2 linked regions of the Arabidopsis thaliana genome follow. The protein of the gene in region 2 interacts with the protein of the main gene of each other region in a pairwise test. Each region holds a gene or a part of one and is shown on either strand. Other genes may lie near its edges.

Region 1 (8,281 bases), on a different chromosome or scaffold from region 2:
AATCAAAAGTTTTTAAAAATAATGGAAATATATACCCTAAATTGGAAATAGAGAACCCAAATATAATACCACAAACTAATACTAAAATGAAAATTCTCTTTTAAATGGTGAAAATATATACCCTAAAGTAGAAATAGGGAACCCAAATATAATATTTTCAATTTATTTTTAATTATTTAGGTTGAATATATTTTATATAAAAATTGTGGTATTATTGAAAAAATAAAGGGAGATTGACACAAATGGCACAAAAAAACTTTATTATTCCAAAAATGACACTTTCTTTTGAAACTTCCAAAAAAAGCATATAAAAGTTTTTAATTCTCTATAAATTAATTAAATAATAAAGTTTTTTTACTACCATTTGTATCAATTCCCCCCCCCCCCCCAAATAAAAATGAGAGCAAACACTGATATTAAATTGAATCAAAAAACTTTTAAATAGTGAAAATATATACCCTAAATTGGAAATAAAAAACCCAAATATAATACTACAAACTAATTTAAAATGAAAAATCTCTTTAAAATGATTGAAAATATAAACCCTAAATTGAAAATAGGAAACCCATATATAATACCATAAACTAATATTAAAATGAATCAAAATTTCTTTTAAATAGTTGGAAATATATACCCTAAATTAGAAATAGAGAACCCAAATATAATATTTTAAATTTATTTCTAATTTATTTTGGTTGAATATATTTTTATATAAAATTGTGGTATTATTATTGTCCATAAAACTTGTTTTTGTGTTACTTTTAAGAATTTCTCAAATAATTATTTGAGTGCTATTTATGTCTAAAAAACTTTTTAATGCTATTTTTTTCAAAAAACTTAAAAGTGTGCTATTTGTGGGAATTTCTCAAAAAGTAAATTAGTGATAATATTTTTAGAACAAAAACTTTAGAGTAAGTCAATTAGTGCTATTTTTGGAAGTTTATGGAGTGTGTGCTATTATTGTCCATAAAACTTGTTTTAGTGCTATTTTGAAGAATTTCCCAAAAAACTATGTCTCTTATAATTAAATAATAAAAAAGATTCAAAAGTAAAGAAGATAAATTTATAAACAAATGTGTAATCAAAACAAGGATTTTGCAAAATGGAAAGATATGACACAACAATTAGACAATACATATACTGAATTTCAAATTTCAAATTTCAAATTTCAATAAGTTGTTTAATGTTTATAAATTTATATATTAAACAAATATTTTTGATAAATCTGATGTTCGTATTCATGATACATCTATCATAAAATAAATATTTTCTTTAGTTAAAATTAGCAAAACAAAACAAGGATTTTGCAAAATTGTAAGATATGACACAACAGTTATAGGTACATATACTGAATTTCAAATTTCAAATTTTAAGTAAGTATAGATTTATTTAAATTTAATGTTGTTTTGTCATACCGATGTAATTGGCTATATAATATTTTTTGAGAAATCTGATGTTCGTATTCATGATACACCTATCCTAAAATAAATATTTTCTTTAGTTAAAATTAGCAAAATAGAATGTGTAAGATTGAAATTTGTTTTTTCTTTTAAATATTATATTAAATATAAAAAGTGTGTTAACTACGATTTAGAGCTCATATATCATAAATTAAAATTAGCATTTTTTTTTTCTCACCCGCCTATTTAGGCGGGCCTTATCTAGTTAATTATAAAAAGACAATTGACAAAAATAGCACCAAAAAAGAGTTTTTTTCCAAAATTAGCACAATATTTCTGAGATTTCACAAATAGCACGATAAAGTTCAATTAAACTTAACTAAAATATAAGATTGAAAATAAAAATGAGAGCAAACACTAATCTAATATTAAATTGAATAAAACAATTGTAGAAATATATATCCTAAATTAGAAATAGATAACCCAAATATAATACCACAAACTAATATTAAAATGAAAAATCTCCTTTAAATGGTGAAAATATATACCCTAAATTAGAAATAGGGAACTCAAATATAATACCATAAACTAATATTAAAATGAATCAATTTGTTTTTAAATGGTTGAAATATATACCCTAAATTGAAAATAGAGAATCCAAATATAATATTTTAATTTATTTCTAATTTATTTTGGTTGAATAGATTTTATATAAAAATTATGATATTATTCAAAAAATAAATTAGTGATAATACTTTTAGAAAAAAACTTCATAATAAGTCAAGTAGTGCTATTTTTGAAAGTTTATGGAATGTGTGCTATTATTGTCCATAAAACCAGTTTTAATGCTATTTTTAGGAATTTCTCATTGTAAAAAGAGCATTGCAAAAATATTAAGACAACAACAAAAGTAAGCTCTTTAGCTGATATACGACCACCAACTATCTGGCTATCGAGAAGATCTAATATGCAGGGAAGTTATTCACTAGAATAATTCAATAGATTTGTTTAGTATAAAACTATTATTAGATTGAGTAAATATAAAAATAGTATATTTAAATTTGAGAGGAATGACATATGTCAAATGAATCAAACACCACTTGTCAGTTTTTTACGGTATGAGTTTGAGGGAACCTTACTTATATGTAAATGTATAAAAATAGTTAAACTTAATAGGCGTTCGTTCTAATCCCTAAAACAAAACCTTAGTTACTTTAGCGTATAGGGCAAGTAGGCGCAGACATGGATATGTCGATGAGAGAAGAGAAAAGACCAAAAGTGTTTGATAATCACGGTTGGTCCAAACTTTAATTTGTCCCGCGCGATCTTTGCAAAAGACCATGAAAATATTGATCTTTATTTACCTAAAGATCATCAAGGTGGATGCGCGTAACGATTTGATGAGAGAAGAAAACTGACCAAAAGTATCTCATCATCACGACTGGTCCAAGCTTTGTCTTGACCTTTTGCGAAAAATCATTGAAAGCTTGAACTCTATTGACTACCACCAAGCAAAACTCGTTTGCTCAGATTGGTATTTCGTTTGGAAAACATGCGTGAAACGGCCTCTGTATCCATGGCGGATCATATACTACGATGATGATTCTTCCAGTTTGTTTGATCCCGGTGAAGACAAGATTTACGGGACAAAACTCCTCGGACTCTCTGACAATAGCTATTATATGGCTAGCTCCGGAAACTGGCTCTTGATGGTAGATTCTTGATAGGTTTATAAGGTCGACTACTAGAGAAAGAAGCTGAGAAGATTGGGCTAAGCGAAGCTGAGAAGAGAAAAGAGGAAGTCAACTACTGTGTTGACTGAGTTGACTTAACAAATGAGGGCAAATACTCTTTCCAGTTAGAGGCCTTGAAACTCTTCTTCTATAAATACTGACTCTGTTCTTATCTGGGGATTTTATGCTTTTTATGTTGTGATATTTCTCGAGAGAGAATTGGCCTTGTGATGTGCCAGAGGAAGAGATCAATGTTGATCTCTTGGTCATCGGTTGCTTATATCTATGTTGATCTAAACATAACGATTCTTATCTTCTCTTTGTAGTTACGTAATCGATTCTATCATTACGATCTAGAGTTTCTAGAGTTTAAGGATTTGAAACTTTAACAAGTCTCGTCTTGATTCGAATCTTATTAAAGATCAATCTTCCGTCAATGGAGTCGTCAGTTCGCGGTGGAAAAATAAGATTCGAGCCAAGCAGATACTATAATAGACAAGGCAAGTGGGGATGGTTCGTCCTCCATCCTTTTGGTAAGTATTGCGTGTCCAAACACATGTTGGGAATAACAAGATCAGTTGGTCTTGGATAGATGAGAGGACAGTGGATTATTTAATTGCTTGGACTTTACACAACAGTTATTTGTTCACATACAAGAAAGGAGATGATTCTTGGTGGAACTGGAATGATAAGTATGGGACATCAGCTCCGATGTTTGGGGATTTAGCTTACAAGAACAGCAAGCTTTATCAGTATACTTTGCGCCACTACATCAAGATTATTGATTATTGTTACATACTTTTACTTCACCTTTTTGTTTTGAATTTTTTTTTTTATAATGATTTTAAGACAAGATTGTGTCAGCCGTTGACTTATGATCAACTAGGAACCTAATCGGAACGCAACTCGAGATTCATTTTATTTATTTTATACTACAAAATTATCTTGAAAAATATATCGAGGAAGGTGTCATATCTCATGGAATCCGAATCTGCCAATAATATGAGAGCCACTAGCAATTATTCTGAATCTCCCCAAAGGGAAGAATCAAAAGTTGTTCTCTCTTGTTCTGTCTTTGTTCTTTGTTAGAGTTAGAACAGAAGCTTCCAAAAGGTAATAATAATCTCTTTCAAGAAACTCATTATTAGTCAAAGATGTTTACTTTTTAGTACTCTCTCTGTTCTTCATTGCTTCTCTAGAAACCCAATAGATTTTGACTCTTGCCTTGCCTTTGCGGTTGTCTAAAGATCACAATCCTCAATTTGAGTTTGATCGATCATTAATGTGTGTCGAAGATCAGATAACCAAAAGAATCTTGTTTGGTGCAGAGTTTTTTTCATGATTTTTATAAGTATATAAAAGAGAGATAGAAAGATGTATATGATAGAGAGCAAAGGAGGAGCAATTGCATGTATGCTCTTGGCTCTTCTCTTCTTAGGGACATGGCCAGCAATCATGACTCTAACCGAAAGACGCGGTCGACTTCCTCAACACACTTATCTTGACTACACACTCACAAATCTGTTAGCTGCAGTGATCATAGCGTTGACACTAGGAGAAATAGGTCCGAGCAGACCAAATTTCTTTACACAGCTCTCTCAAGTCAGTCACATCTTCTTACTTCTCCTTAGACATCTTGTCGAAAACTATTGTATAACCGCGGTTTTTTTTTTTATCATAGGATAATTGGCAGTCAGTGATGTTTGCAATGGCTGGAGGAATAGTTCTTAGCCTTGGAAACTTAGCAACACAATATGCTTGGGCTTATGTTGGTTTATCAGTTACTGAAGTCATCACAGCTAGTATCACTGTTGTTATCGGTACACTCTTCTTTCTTCAACTACTCTTAACTGATTTTTTCCTCTGTTTCTTCTCTGTTCTTATGACCATTTCTGTTTTCTAGTACAGGCACAACTTTGAACTATTTCTTGGATGATAGAATCAACAGAGCTGAGGTCCTTTTCCCGGGGGTCGCTTGTTTCTTGATCGCTGTTTGTTTCGGTTCCGCTGTTCATAAATCCAATGCTGCTGATAACAAAACCAAACTCCAAAATTTCAAAAGGTTTGAAAAAGATTCATATCTATTGTTGTTTCCGTTTGGTTTGGTTTGGTACTAATCTTGATCTTGTTTCAGTTTAGAGACTACTTCTTCCTTCGAAATGGAAACAATTTCTGCAAGCAACGGGTTAACAAAAGGGAAAGCGAAAGAAGGGACTGCAGCTTTTCTCATAGAGCTTGAGAAGCAAAGAGCTATAAAGGTTGAAACATACTACTCTTCCTTTACCCTAACAGATATAACTGATATGTATATATGTTCTCTGAAGATTCATGATTGGCATTGAGGACAGGTCTTTGGCAAAAGCACAATAATCGGATTGGTGATAACTTTCTTTGCCGGTATCTGCTTTTCTCTGTTCTCACCTGCATTCAACTTAGCAACAAACGATCAATGGCACACATTAAAACATGGAGTTCCAAAACTAAATGTGTACACTGCCTTCTTCTACTTCTCCATCTCTGCATTTGTAGTTGCTCTGATACTTAACATCAGATTTCTCTATTGGCCTATACTTGGTCTCCCAAGATCTTCTTTCAAGGCTTATTTGAATGACTGGAACGGTCGAGGCTGGTCTTTCTTGGCTGGATTTCTATGTGGATTTGGCAATGGTCTTCAGTTCATGGGTGGTCAAGCCGCAGGCTATGCAGCTGCAGACGCTGTTCAGGTTTAGACAATAAACAAATCCTCTGTTCCATGATTTAAGAGTGAAATATGTTTTACTTATTATGATTTGAATATGTTTCAGGCACTTCCACTTGTGAGTACATTTTGGGGGATATTGTTGTTTGGAGAATATAGAAGATCATCAAGAAAAACATATACACTTCTCATCAGTATGCTTCTTATGTTCATAGTCGCTGTCGCGGTTCTTATGGCTTCCTCGGGACATAGAAAATGAAATTCACTGAAACTTCTTCAAGTTAAACTGCTAAAAGGATCCATTGAAGGAAGAGTTACTTCACCAATGGCTGCAACATGTTCAAGTCTTTGTTTATATTTAACCAAAGTGTTTTCTTTGTTGGTTTCTGTCTTAGGGCTTTGCTAACAACAATTGGTTGTATTGTCTTTGTTTACACATCAGAGAAAGAAAACTATAGTTTATGGCAACTTGAGATTTATTTATTTTATAGAAAATGGGAAACTAACTTCTTCCTGAATCTGGATCTGCCAATCAAATGAGAGACTAAGTTTTTTTTCTTCTGTATCTGTTGTTCTCTGGTCTTCCTCAAAGTCAAAGTTAAGACAAAAGCTTTAATAAGGTAATCTCTTTCAAGAAACCTAGTCAATAGGGAAATTTAATGGAATATAAGGTTTGAGTTTTATAGAGATCTTCTTGTATCAGCATGTGTCTTGTGTTAATGTTCTAAAGAACCTTTCTTAAGACAACTAGCTTCATTTTTATCACGAGAGATCAATGATATGATAACAGAAGAATCTCACTTCTTTACTTTGATGCAGTGGGATTTGGTGATTTTATAAAATGTATGTGATAGAGAGCAAAGGAGGAACAATCACTTGTATGCTCTTGGCTCTGCTCTTCTTAGGGACATGGCCAGCAATCATGACTCTAACCGAAAGACGCGGTAGACTTCCTCAACATACTTATCTTGACTACACACTGACAAACCTGTTAGCTGCAGTTATCATAGCGTTTACACTAGGCGAAATAAGTCCAAGCAGACCAAATTTCACCACACAGCTTTCTCAAGTCAGTTACACATACATTCATACACATATTTGTTGTTGGTTTTTGAAATGCAAAGTTTTTTTGTCACAGGATAATTGGCCGTCTGTGATGTTTGCAATGGCTGGAGGAATATTTCTTAGCCTTGGGACCTTAGCAACACAATATGCTTGGGCTTTTGTTGGGTTATCTGTCACTGAAGTCATCACAGCTAGTATCGCCGTTGTTATCGGTAAACTCTTCTCTTCAACTACTCTTAACTGATTTTTTTCCTCTGTTCTTATTAACTCTTTTGTTTTCAACAACAGGCACAACTTTGAACTATTTCTTGGATGATAGAATCAACAGAGCTGAGGTCCTTTTCCCGGGGGTCGCTTGTTTCTTGATCGCTGTTTGTTTCGGTTCTGCTGTTCATAAATCAAATGCAGCTGATAACAAATCCAAACTCCAAGGATTCAAAAGGTTAAAAAAAGATTCACTATACTAGGTCTTTGTTTTGTTTTCTTTTGGTTTGGTTTTTAACCTAATCTGATCTTGTTTCAGTTTAGAGACTACTTCTTCCTTCCAAATGGAAACAAGTTCTATAAAAGAAGGAAAAGCAAAAGTAGGGACTGCAGATTTTCTTATTGAGGTTGAGAAACAAAGAGCCATAAAGGTTAATAATAATACACACAGCATTTTCCTAAACAGAAATAACTGATATTCACTGATACTCAAGATTTGCGTTGACAGGTTTTTGGGAAAAGCACAATAATTGGACTGGCGATAACATTCTTTGCCGGTATCTGTTTCTCTCTAATCTCACCTGCAGTAAGCTTAGCGACAAACGATCAATGGCACACTTTGAAACATGGAGTTGGCACACTTTGAAACATGGAGTTCCAAAACTCAATGTGTACACAGCCTTCTTCTACTTCTCCATCTCTTCATTTGGGGTTGGTCTGATACTAAACATCATATTTCTCTATTGGCCTATACTTGGTCTCCCAAGATCATCTTTCAAGGCTTACCTAAATGACTGGAACGGTCGAGGCTGGTCTTTCTTGGCTGGATTTCTCTGTGGATTTGGTAATGGTCTTCAGTTTATGGGCGGTCAAGCCGCTGGTTATGCTGCTGCAGGAGCTGTTCAGGTTTAAGACCTCTTTTCTGTTCAATGATTTAAAGATTGAAAATAAACATTTTGGGGGATACTGCTGTTTGGAGAATACAAAAGATCATCAAGAAAAACATATACACTTCTTATCAGTATGCTATTTATGTTCATAGCTGCAGTCGCGGTTCTGATGGCCTCATCGGGACATCGAAAATGACTAAAAATGCATTCCACAGAAACATCTACAGACTAAAAGCTTCACAACTTTGGTTTATAAACTTGTAAGATACGGTACTCTTGTATGAAGGTAAA
Region 2 (8,504 bases):
GTTGAGAAGATGGACTATTGCAAACAACAGCATTTAAACCTATTTTGACTCTTCTTATATCCAAATTTCTAGTCATGAAATATGAATGATTGGGTTCGAACTTAATTGAAATTATTCTATTGAACAATCAGCTAGAAGTGCAATGACAAATGACCAGGATTAGGGGATGCATCTCTTGGTTAGATGCGCCATATGGGTAGGTAACCGCAAGGCAATTGTTTGGTTACATGGCGGTTATGATGGTAGCCATCAAGTGACATACGACCACAAAACCTTGAAAATGACTTTGTAAGCAAATGCAGAGTAGAAACGTTAATAGAAAACCAAACTTGCCTTGATCCTCTATTGCCCAACTCCTCCAATACATAAGATGTGATAGCAACTTATGTAGGACACACCAAACCAAATAAATTACACAATCTGTGAGTGTCTGTTTTCAAGATTTCCCCGACAATTCCATTAAGCAAAATAAATAATAATAACTCGAAATTGACACAACCACACGAATTTGAAAAAAGCTGAAATCCATATCTCATGGGACTCAAACATCCAATGTTGATTCAATAATTGTAGTCCTAAAAATAAATCAATAACTAATACATTTTCATAAATTTTAGTACTAATACATAAGTTAGCATTTTGGTTTTTAACATAGCTGAAAACAGAACGTCACATTATTTGGAGAAACATTAAGTACTAAATATTTAGCATGAAATAAATTTCATATAATTCATATGGATCACAAGGTTTTTTTTTGGCAAACATAGATTATAAGTCACACTAGTCTAAATTCTTGAAGGGCTTGTATGACTTGACACTATTAATTAAGCCAATGATGGATCCTACGGCGGCAAGGGCCGAGACGATCAAGCAAACCAATACGAGGAGGTTCAAGGCCAACCATCTACGAGAATACTTCTTGACTTTAGCCTGCGCAATGTGCATTGCCACCGGAAAATAAACTGTGAGTGGCCAGAACGCGAATGCCCCTAGCAAACCCAAGATCGCATTGAAGAAGGGGAATATCATTGCTACAAATGTTGTCAAAACAACATAGCATGTCCTCCAAACCAGTCTGAAGAGGTTGACACGACATTTTCCAAGCAAAGGAACCTTTGACGAGTATTCTTTGTTGATGAAATTGCTTTGAGGCCATTTTTTGTTGCAGTTTTCCTCAACAAACTGGAAAAACGGCTGCGCATACACCTGCGAATAATACAGGGATAAAAAAAAAAAAAGAGCATTTTTTAGAAACAATATTTAGTAATAACTCCATTTCTACAATCTTCTGAATTGTTAAAGCTAAAAATTCTAACACAATAATGAGACTTTTAATGAACTTGAACACGGTAAATGTATGTTACACACTTATCCTATTCTTTTGTTTGTGAGTTATACCTGATAGGCACCTATTAGATGGAGAGCAATGCAAGCATTGGCAAAGTCGATGAGCCAATAAGGTTCGTAAAAACCAAAATCGGTAAGGAAGTCACCAGGGGCTTGGTTGCCGAACGCAGCATATCCGATGCAACCACACAAGATGTAGAAAACAGTTGTGGTTGAGACTCCGACAAGACTTGCTCGTTTCATCACTTTGTTCTCTGGTGGGCTTGATCTCAATGTGTCCTGCAAAATAAACAAGACATACTACTAGAGCGTCACTATCTTTAGAGCTTCACATATCTAAAATATGAAACTATTTTTATCCATCATCCATCCATCTATATTTTTTCCTAACTGTCTAATTAATAATAACATCTTATCTTCAAGGTATTCTTATTTTACCTCTCTTTGGCGAAATTAATAATAACAAGCAAATGAAAACAATAGTAAACGGAAGATAGTAGGAATCAGTAGTACATGCCTGAATCTCGATGAGAATAGTGGTAAAAGCGTATGAAAAGGCAATGTCTCCAATCGCTTGAAACAATTTCCAAACTTTTTCAGACGCAGTTACGTCCACACCTATCACTGTCCCTGTCAATTCTGTCTTACCAATCTTCCCACCTTTCATATATATTGTATACCATTTTCACGGTTAGTGTCAACTTTGAAGAATCATCCATATAAACCACTATGTTTTAAGATAAAGAAGGGGAATGTACTTGCTACAGTAGCGATGGCTAGGCCTATTCCGATAGACGCATAAGAGAAGGACATAACCGCGGCGATGATGGATAGGAAAGAGAGCTTGTGGAAGTTAGGAAGCTGGCTCAGAATGATCTGGACGATCCCAAATGCCGCCATGTATGGATAATTCGATACAGAACATTTCGCTTTATGTCCCTTGTCATGATAACAATTTGATTTCCCAATCGCTCTAACGAAGACGTACAAAAACACCAATCAAACAATTATTAGTAATTTTATTCAGAACAACATGTTAGTATAACCATAACAAAATAATCGAAATAAATCAGAATCTTTGACTTACACTAAGCTTATGGAGGCAGTGATGGTGTAACCAATAGTGACCCCTACGAGATTCACGTACTGTGCCACTCCACATAGCTGAACCTTTTTACCACCTGCGTTTTATGTTATTAAAGAAGAAAAATGATTACTCTTGTACTACTATCAAATACTACCAATCTTTTGGTCTTATGGCAAAGTTTCTAAACATCCCGCATAATTCCAAATTTTCAACGAGGGGTCAACAATCGAATTTATAACATTCTTTAACGGGATAAATTGAATTGACTATGTTACCAATCCTAATCAATTTAATTTATTAACTAAGTTATGAAAGAATGAAGATTATCTTCCTTTTTTTTATATAGATTTTGATAATTAATTCATATCTTCCCATGAAAGAGCATGCACACTTGGCAAAATCGTAAATCATTTTTTTCTAACAACCATATTTTTTTCTTTCATTGTTCAACAACAATAATGTTCTTCAACAAATTTACATGGTAAAAAATTGTTGAAATGAGCCAATTATACTGTAGATTTACAAATTCCAACTTAGCATTAAATATATATTTTTAGATCAGATTTTTTTTCTTTCGCCAGCCATCATCATTGTGACAGAAATGGAAGAAAATCAAAACACATGTCCTAAATTGAGACTAGTTAGGCAAAATCTAAATGATATCAAATGAACAAAATCCTTGTTCATCTGAGAAAAAATGTCTAGAAAACTGAAAAATCTGTGAAAAACAATGCTGATAAAGACACAAAATGAATTTGTTTATATGAATCCATACCAAGGTAAGATCGGACGACGCCCATGTAATTATAGTTGCGTGTTCCGGTGATGGAGTCCGGCGAACGGTAACAGTCGGCGAGCAAGGTGGACGTGTAGTAAGTAATGATGGCGAAAGCGACCAAAACTGTGGTTCCTGCCACCCAACCAAGCTGTGCTATAGCCCAAGCCAACGACAGCACCCCTGAGCCTATGACCGCCGTGATTATGTGCGCACTCGCCGTCCAAAATGTTCCCGTTCTCTTCTCTCGACCATCGTCGTCGACGCTTTTCACGGCGGCGTCACCCGACTCCACCGCCGAGGGATTGTTGTATGCGTCCATCATTGTGAGAGAACCACTGAACCAGAGGAGAGAAGAGAGGGGAAGAGAGTTATTGACAGAGGTCGTCTTATTAGAGTACTCCCTCACAATCACGTACTTACATGTATTATATACACAAATATCGATGTTTATATGGAAAGAGCATCTTTGTACGTTGAATCTTATTTATTAAGAGAATCTTCTATTACGAGGATTTATTTCTTTTGACTTTGATTTTGAATGTGTAACCACTATTGCTTATTCCGGAAACAAAAATTGGTCCGCATGTTGAAAAGAGGATTTACCTACATTAACGACACTACGAATAATCGAAATTAGGTAACTGATTAAAATTAGATGAGTAAAACAGAGAGATATTTCCTTCAGATCTTGGCCTCTTGCATAGCTATATCCTCTCTTCTATCTTGCTCATTTATCTTCTCAAATCCTCACATGCACATGATTCATTAATCGGGAAATTAAATCATTAACATTGAGTTATAATGATGTATTGATGTGAATCTATATATATATATTGTTGTATCAACTAAATATTATGATATATCTACAACATTTTGTTATTAGTATCGCATCAAATACAAAATTATGTGGATTTACATGTTTGTATTATATTTTACTACTATTTTAACGGTTTACAAAAACATGTAAACCAAACCATAAATTTCACTAATTTCAATTATGTACGATTTTGAGTCTTCATTACTTCTTATCGTTTCTTTCACTCTTATAGTCTTATCTCACAATCCGTAATTTGTGCACAATTAATGAATTCAATGTTGTATTTTGTCGTATTAAATATGGATTTTGACCAACATAAACCTGATTTTTTAGTGGATTATTTTAAAATATATCCACAAAATATTCCTTCGAATAAAATCCCATTCTAACTATATCCATAAAATGCCCATCCCAATTGTCGAGACAGAATCAGATATCTAAAATGACACATAATAAATGTCGCATATTACACCATTAAAGTACGGTACGTTGACCTCCTACCTGACTATGAACAGCTCATCAGACAGCTCCCTGTGCCCTCAAGTAGGGGTGTGGATAAATTGGTCTGGTTACCGGTAAAATCTGGAGAGTATACCTCAAGATCAGGTTACGGGGTAACATCCTTGACAGTGCTACCAACAGCTCAGGTCCGCTTTAACTGGCAAGCAAACCTTTGGAAACTCCACACTATGCCGAAGATCAAACTTTTCCTATGGAAGGCGGCTGCAGGAGCTCTCCCTGTGGGTGCACAACTCGTAAGAAGGCATATATCATCAACTTGGGATTGTGCACGCTGTGGGGCTCCGGAGACTTCCACCCACATGCTGTTTCACTGTGATTTTGCGGCACAAGTTTGGAACCTAGCGCCCCTCCAATTGGGTCACATCCCTATCGGTACCCCTATTTTGGAAGCTCTTAACTTACTTAAGAAAACCATCGTTCTCCCCCCGGTTGGGATTCATACAGCAACCCTCTTCCCCTGGATCTGTTGGCACATCTGGAAAGCCAGAAATCAGCTTATCTTCCAAAATTCTCATTTCTCTGTGATAGAGACTGTTACAAAGGCGGTTCAGGATGCCTTAGCGTGGCAATCCGCCCAATTGGCGCTCCCAAAAGTTCGTGTAGCGACCCCCCGCCCAAACTCCACAACAACTCTGACTCATGATTTTCTCTGCTACGTGGATGCGGCTTGGCAACAACAGAGCTCCCTCGCTGGCTCTGGCTGGGTGTTCCAAGCAACCTCACACTCGGAGAAAGAAATTACCACCTTCTCAGCCGGATGCCGTCGGTTCCCCTCGCCCTTAGCGGCGGAGGCTTGGGCTATCAAATCGGCGATGCTACATGCTTTACAACTGGAAAGATCCGATCTCCTTGTGTTATCGGACTCAAAATCCATAGTTGATGCTTTGAACTCCAATGTCTCCCTCAATGAGATATTTGGCCTTCTAGTGGAAATTCGATCTATTCGAAACAGATTCCGCTCTATCTCCTTTCAATTTATCCCTCGCTTAGTTAATTCGATTGCTGATGCTGCGGCTAAGCTCTCCCTTTGTATTTCTGGTAATATCGGGCTTGACCCGGGTACTCTTGTTTTTGTTTGATTTGGAATGGAAAGTATTGGGTTTGACTAAAAAAAAAAAAAAAAAAAAAAAGTACGGTACGTTGACAATCCGTTGGTGAAAACTTAGAGCAAGTCAAGTAAGGGTTTTTAGTAGATTTCTTAGATGGGTTTTTATGTAAAAATGGGCCCAGATAATAGAAAAACAGCTGAATCCATTTAGGATCGTTCCTAAAATTAGTTTTTCGCGACCCAATAGAAACTCATACGTGACCTCATTTTATTGGGTAAACTGAATGACAAAACCAAAAAAAAAAAACCACACGCGTTTATTTATTTCTTCTTCTTCTTCTTCGCCTACGGAGACACCAAAGACGATTGGAATCGACGCTGAAGATCTAGTGATTTGTTCATGAAATCATGAAAAATCATCCACCTAAACGAGTGTTTCAACCAACGGGATGATGATCGAGCTAGATTTTGTTCCCCAAATCGATTCTTCTAACCAAATCGACGAGAGGTGCTTGGACTTGCAAAAGAAGAAGATATCTCAAGTCTCTAAAAAGAAGGTACATGTTATCAACTTGTATTATGAGAAGATTTATCTATCTATGAAAGTGTGTTCCGTCTTGCATTGCTGGTAGCCTCTGAATACAAAGCTTCCAAATTAAATGAATATCTGCTTGTTTCGTCATTGTTAATGGTCATTTAGCTAAGTAGAATAAAAGAAAGATTTTTGCTAACTAATGGAAACATTTCAGAATTTAGGTGCAAATGTAAGAATAGTACGAACCAAGCTTGAAAAATAGTGTTGTTATCATAGACGAGGCTCACAATTTGGCTGACACTTTTCTCAGTATGCACGATGCAAAACTAACAGTGGCACATATATAAATTTCAGTTTCATCAGCTTTCTGAGCACATGTTGTTTGGATGGACTTTTGCATTGCTATTGGGTCCTCTGTTTCAGGCCATATGTGGAGTCATGTTTTTAAATGATTTGTATTGCAGTTGGAGGATATACACTGCAGCATAGAGAGTTATCTGGGAAGATTCCAGAATCTCTTGAGAGCTGGAAACATGAGATATATCCAAATTATGTTGATTCTCACCCGAGCTTTCCTCAAACCTCTTGCTAGTGATAGGAATCTGAAGGAAAGCAATATCTGAATTGGTTCTTAATATTTTCCCCTTTCGTGATCATGTTGAAGCTGTTCTCTTCCTGCAGTTTCTTAAAGATGAGCTTGATGCAAGCTCAGAAGTCATAGAGCCTTGTAATAGCAAGGTATGTGTCTTCTTGTACAACACAACTCGTGTGATTTATACACACAAGCTTGGCGTGCTCTTTGGAATGTATTATATCATTGGCAACCAATTTGTTTGTTTGTGACCATTTTCAATAATTTTGGACCACATTTAATTAGCCCCTAAAACTTCCTTTCATTTTCTGGTTTTATGTTGAAGCAGAAGAGCCTTTCTTTATCTTTTTATAATCGACATGAAGCTGTTTCAAGCTTTGCTTGAGTTCAAGTCTCAAGTTTCTGGAAACAACAAGAGAGAGGTCATGGCTTCATGGAATCACTCCTCCACATTTTGTAATTGGATTGGAGTCACATTTAAAATTTTATAATTCCTAATAATAATCATGTTTAATCAAATAAAAATATCAACAATTTTTTTTTTTTTCAATTTTTTTTTGTTTTAGAAACCAACTTAAAAGATTCCACCAATGGACCATAAAATTTTCAAAAACTCTAAAAAATCTCTAAACTACAAAACTATCCAAATTTATTAATAAAAAATACATAGAAACTTTGTTTAGAAACTAATCACTGGACTTGCTCTTAGTTGTCATGTGTAATGCCGAAAGGAAAGCGCTACAAGGAGTTTCAGCCCTATCCATATACGTAAATACCAATGTTTTTACAAGATTCTGTTGGCAACAAAGAAAAAAAACAAAGGGAAGAAGATGTATAAACCAAAGCTGTTTTATTTTGTCTCTTGTCCAAATGTAACTAAATTTTTGTTGGGCCATATCTCAAAAGAAGTAGAATGATATAATATTGGGCTTTCCATGGGCCTTATATAAACAAACAACCTTGTAAATCGGGTTTGGAACTCATCTCGCAAGGGCTAGCCAAGCAGTACACGTAGCGGGTCGGATCCACCATTTTACGACAGTAGTACAAACATCGATTTGGCGCAAAAGAAACCAAAAAAAAAAAGACACATAGTAATTGGTGTCGTCGCATGAACATTCATCCTTTACCCGACAAACACAATAAAAAATCTGACTTTTTTGTTTAAACTCTTTTATAAAAAAGAATAAAAAAGTTTCGTTGAATCCCTCAAAACTTTTTGGTTCCTTACAATCGTCATTTGTAACTTTCCCAGATCCTCTCCCTTTTATTGCATCTCTGTTCTTTTAGCTCAGGGTTTGTCTGTCGTGCAAAAAGCAAACCCTAAATCAAATCTGGGTTTCGTCTATCTGATTCGTCAGATCTAAAGTCTCAAGGCCCACCATCGTCTTCTTTTTTTGAACTCTCTGCTCTGCTTTGCTCTGCCTTTGGTTTTCTTTTTTTCCATTTCGAGGTAATGTATGTTGTTATGGTAAAGTTTTGTTATTTTCGCTAATCTTTGACATTTCATTTATGTAATTTTTATTTGGCTCAGATTGGGATTTTAGCTTTTGACCTAATTTTGTTGTCGGAGACGACTTTATGTAGCTCTAGTTTAAATTCGTTATCAAGATTCTTGCTTTAATGTCCGAACAGAGATATCTACATTTTATTTTCTCTTACTTTGGTTACTGTGTTGATTATTCTATATGAGATGAACACTCTAGTGTTAATCGAAATTGAAAAGTTTGCATCTTTTCATCTGCAGCTGCTTGGTTGGCTTTGAGGTTTCACTTCAA

The links. The genes of interacting proteins can lie anywhere in the genome.
Region 1: the proteins of AAP8 (region 2) and UPS1 interact in a protein complementation assay, tested with the Arabidopsis thaliana proteins (one large-scale study listed by BioGRID).

The regions. Positions count from the first base shown.
Region 1 is NC_003071.7:1,090,622-1,098,902, forward strand, and holds UPS1 (ureide permease 1), read left to right. Parts: upstream 1-4,080; 5' UTR 4,081-4,507; coding exon 4,508-4,735; intron 4,736-4,814; coding exon 4,815-4,953; intron 4,954-5,041; coding exon 5,042-5,195; intron 5,196-5,267; coding exon 5,268-5,391; intron 5,392-5,481; coding exon 5,482-5,856; intron 5,857-5,937; coding exon 5,938-6,090; 3' UTR 6,091-6,355; downstream 6,356-8,281. Other genes in the region: AT2G03580 (F-box family protein-like protein), read left to right, coding at 2,643-2,694, 2,931-3,112, 3,555-3,666, 3,772-3,860; UPS3 (ureide permease 3), read left to right, coding at 6,673-6,900, 6,970-7,108, 7,185-7,338, 7,420-7,531, 7,623-8,012. UniProt on the Arabidopsis thaliana protein: Proton-coupled transporter that transports a wide spectrum of oxo derivatives of heterocyclic nitrogen compounds, including allantoin, uric acid and xanthine, but not adenine.
Region 2 is NC_003070.9:3,261,003-3,269,506, reverse strand, and holds AAP8 (amino acid permease 8), read right to left. Parts: upstream 3,622-8,504; 5' UTR 3,535-3,621; coding exon 3,210-3,534; intron 2,529-3,209; coding exon 2,435-2,528; intron 2,321-2,434; coding exon 2,106-2,320; intron 2,008-2,105; coding exon 1,865-2,007; intron 1,627-1,864; coding exon 1,399-1,626; intron 1,207-1,398; coding exon 781-1,206; 3' UTR 684-780; downstream 1-683. Other genes in the region: AT1G10000 (Ribonuclease H-like superfamily protein), read left to right, coding at 4,719-5,630; AT1G09995 (DNA repair DEAD helicase RAD3/XP-D subfamily protein), read left to right, coding at 6,049-6,156, 6,599-6,757. UniProt on the Arabidopsis thaliana protein: Amino acid-proton symporter. Stereospecific transporter with a broad specificity for glutamate, aspartate and neutral and acidic amino acids.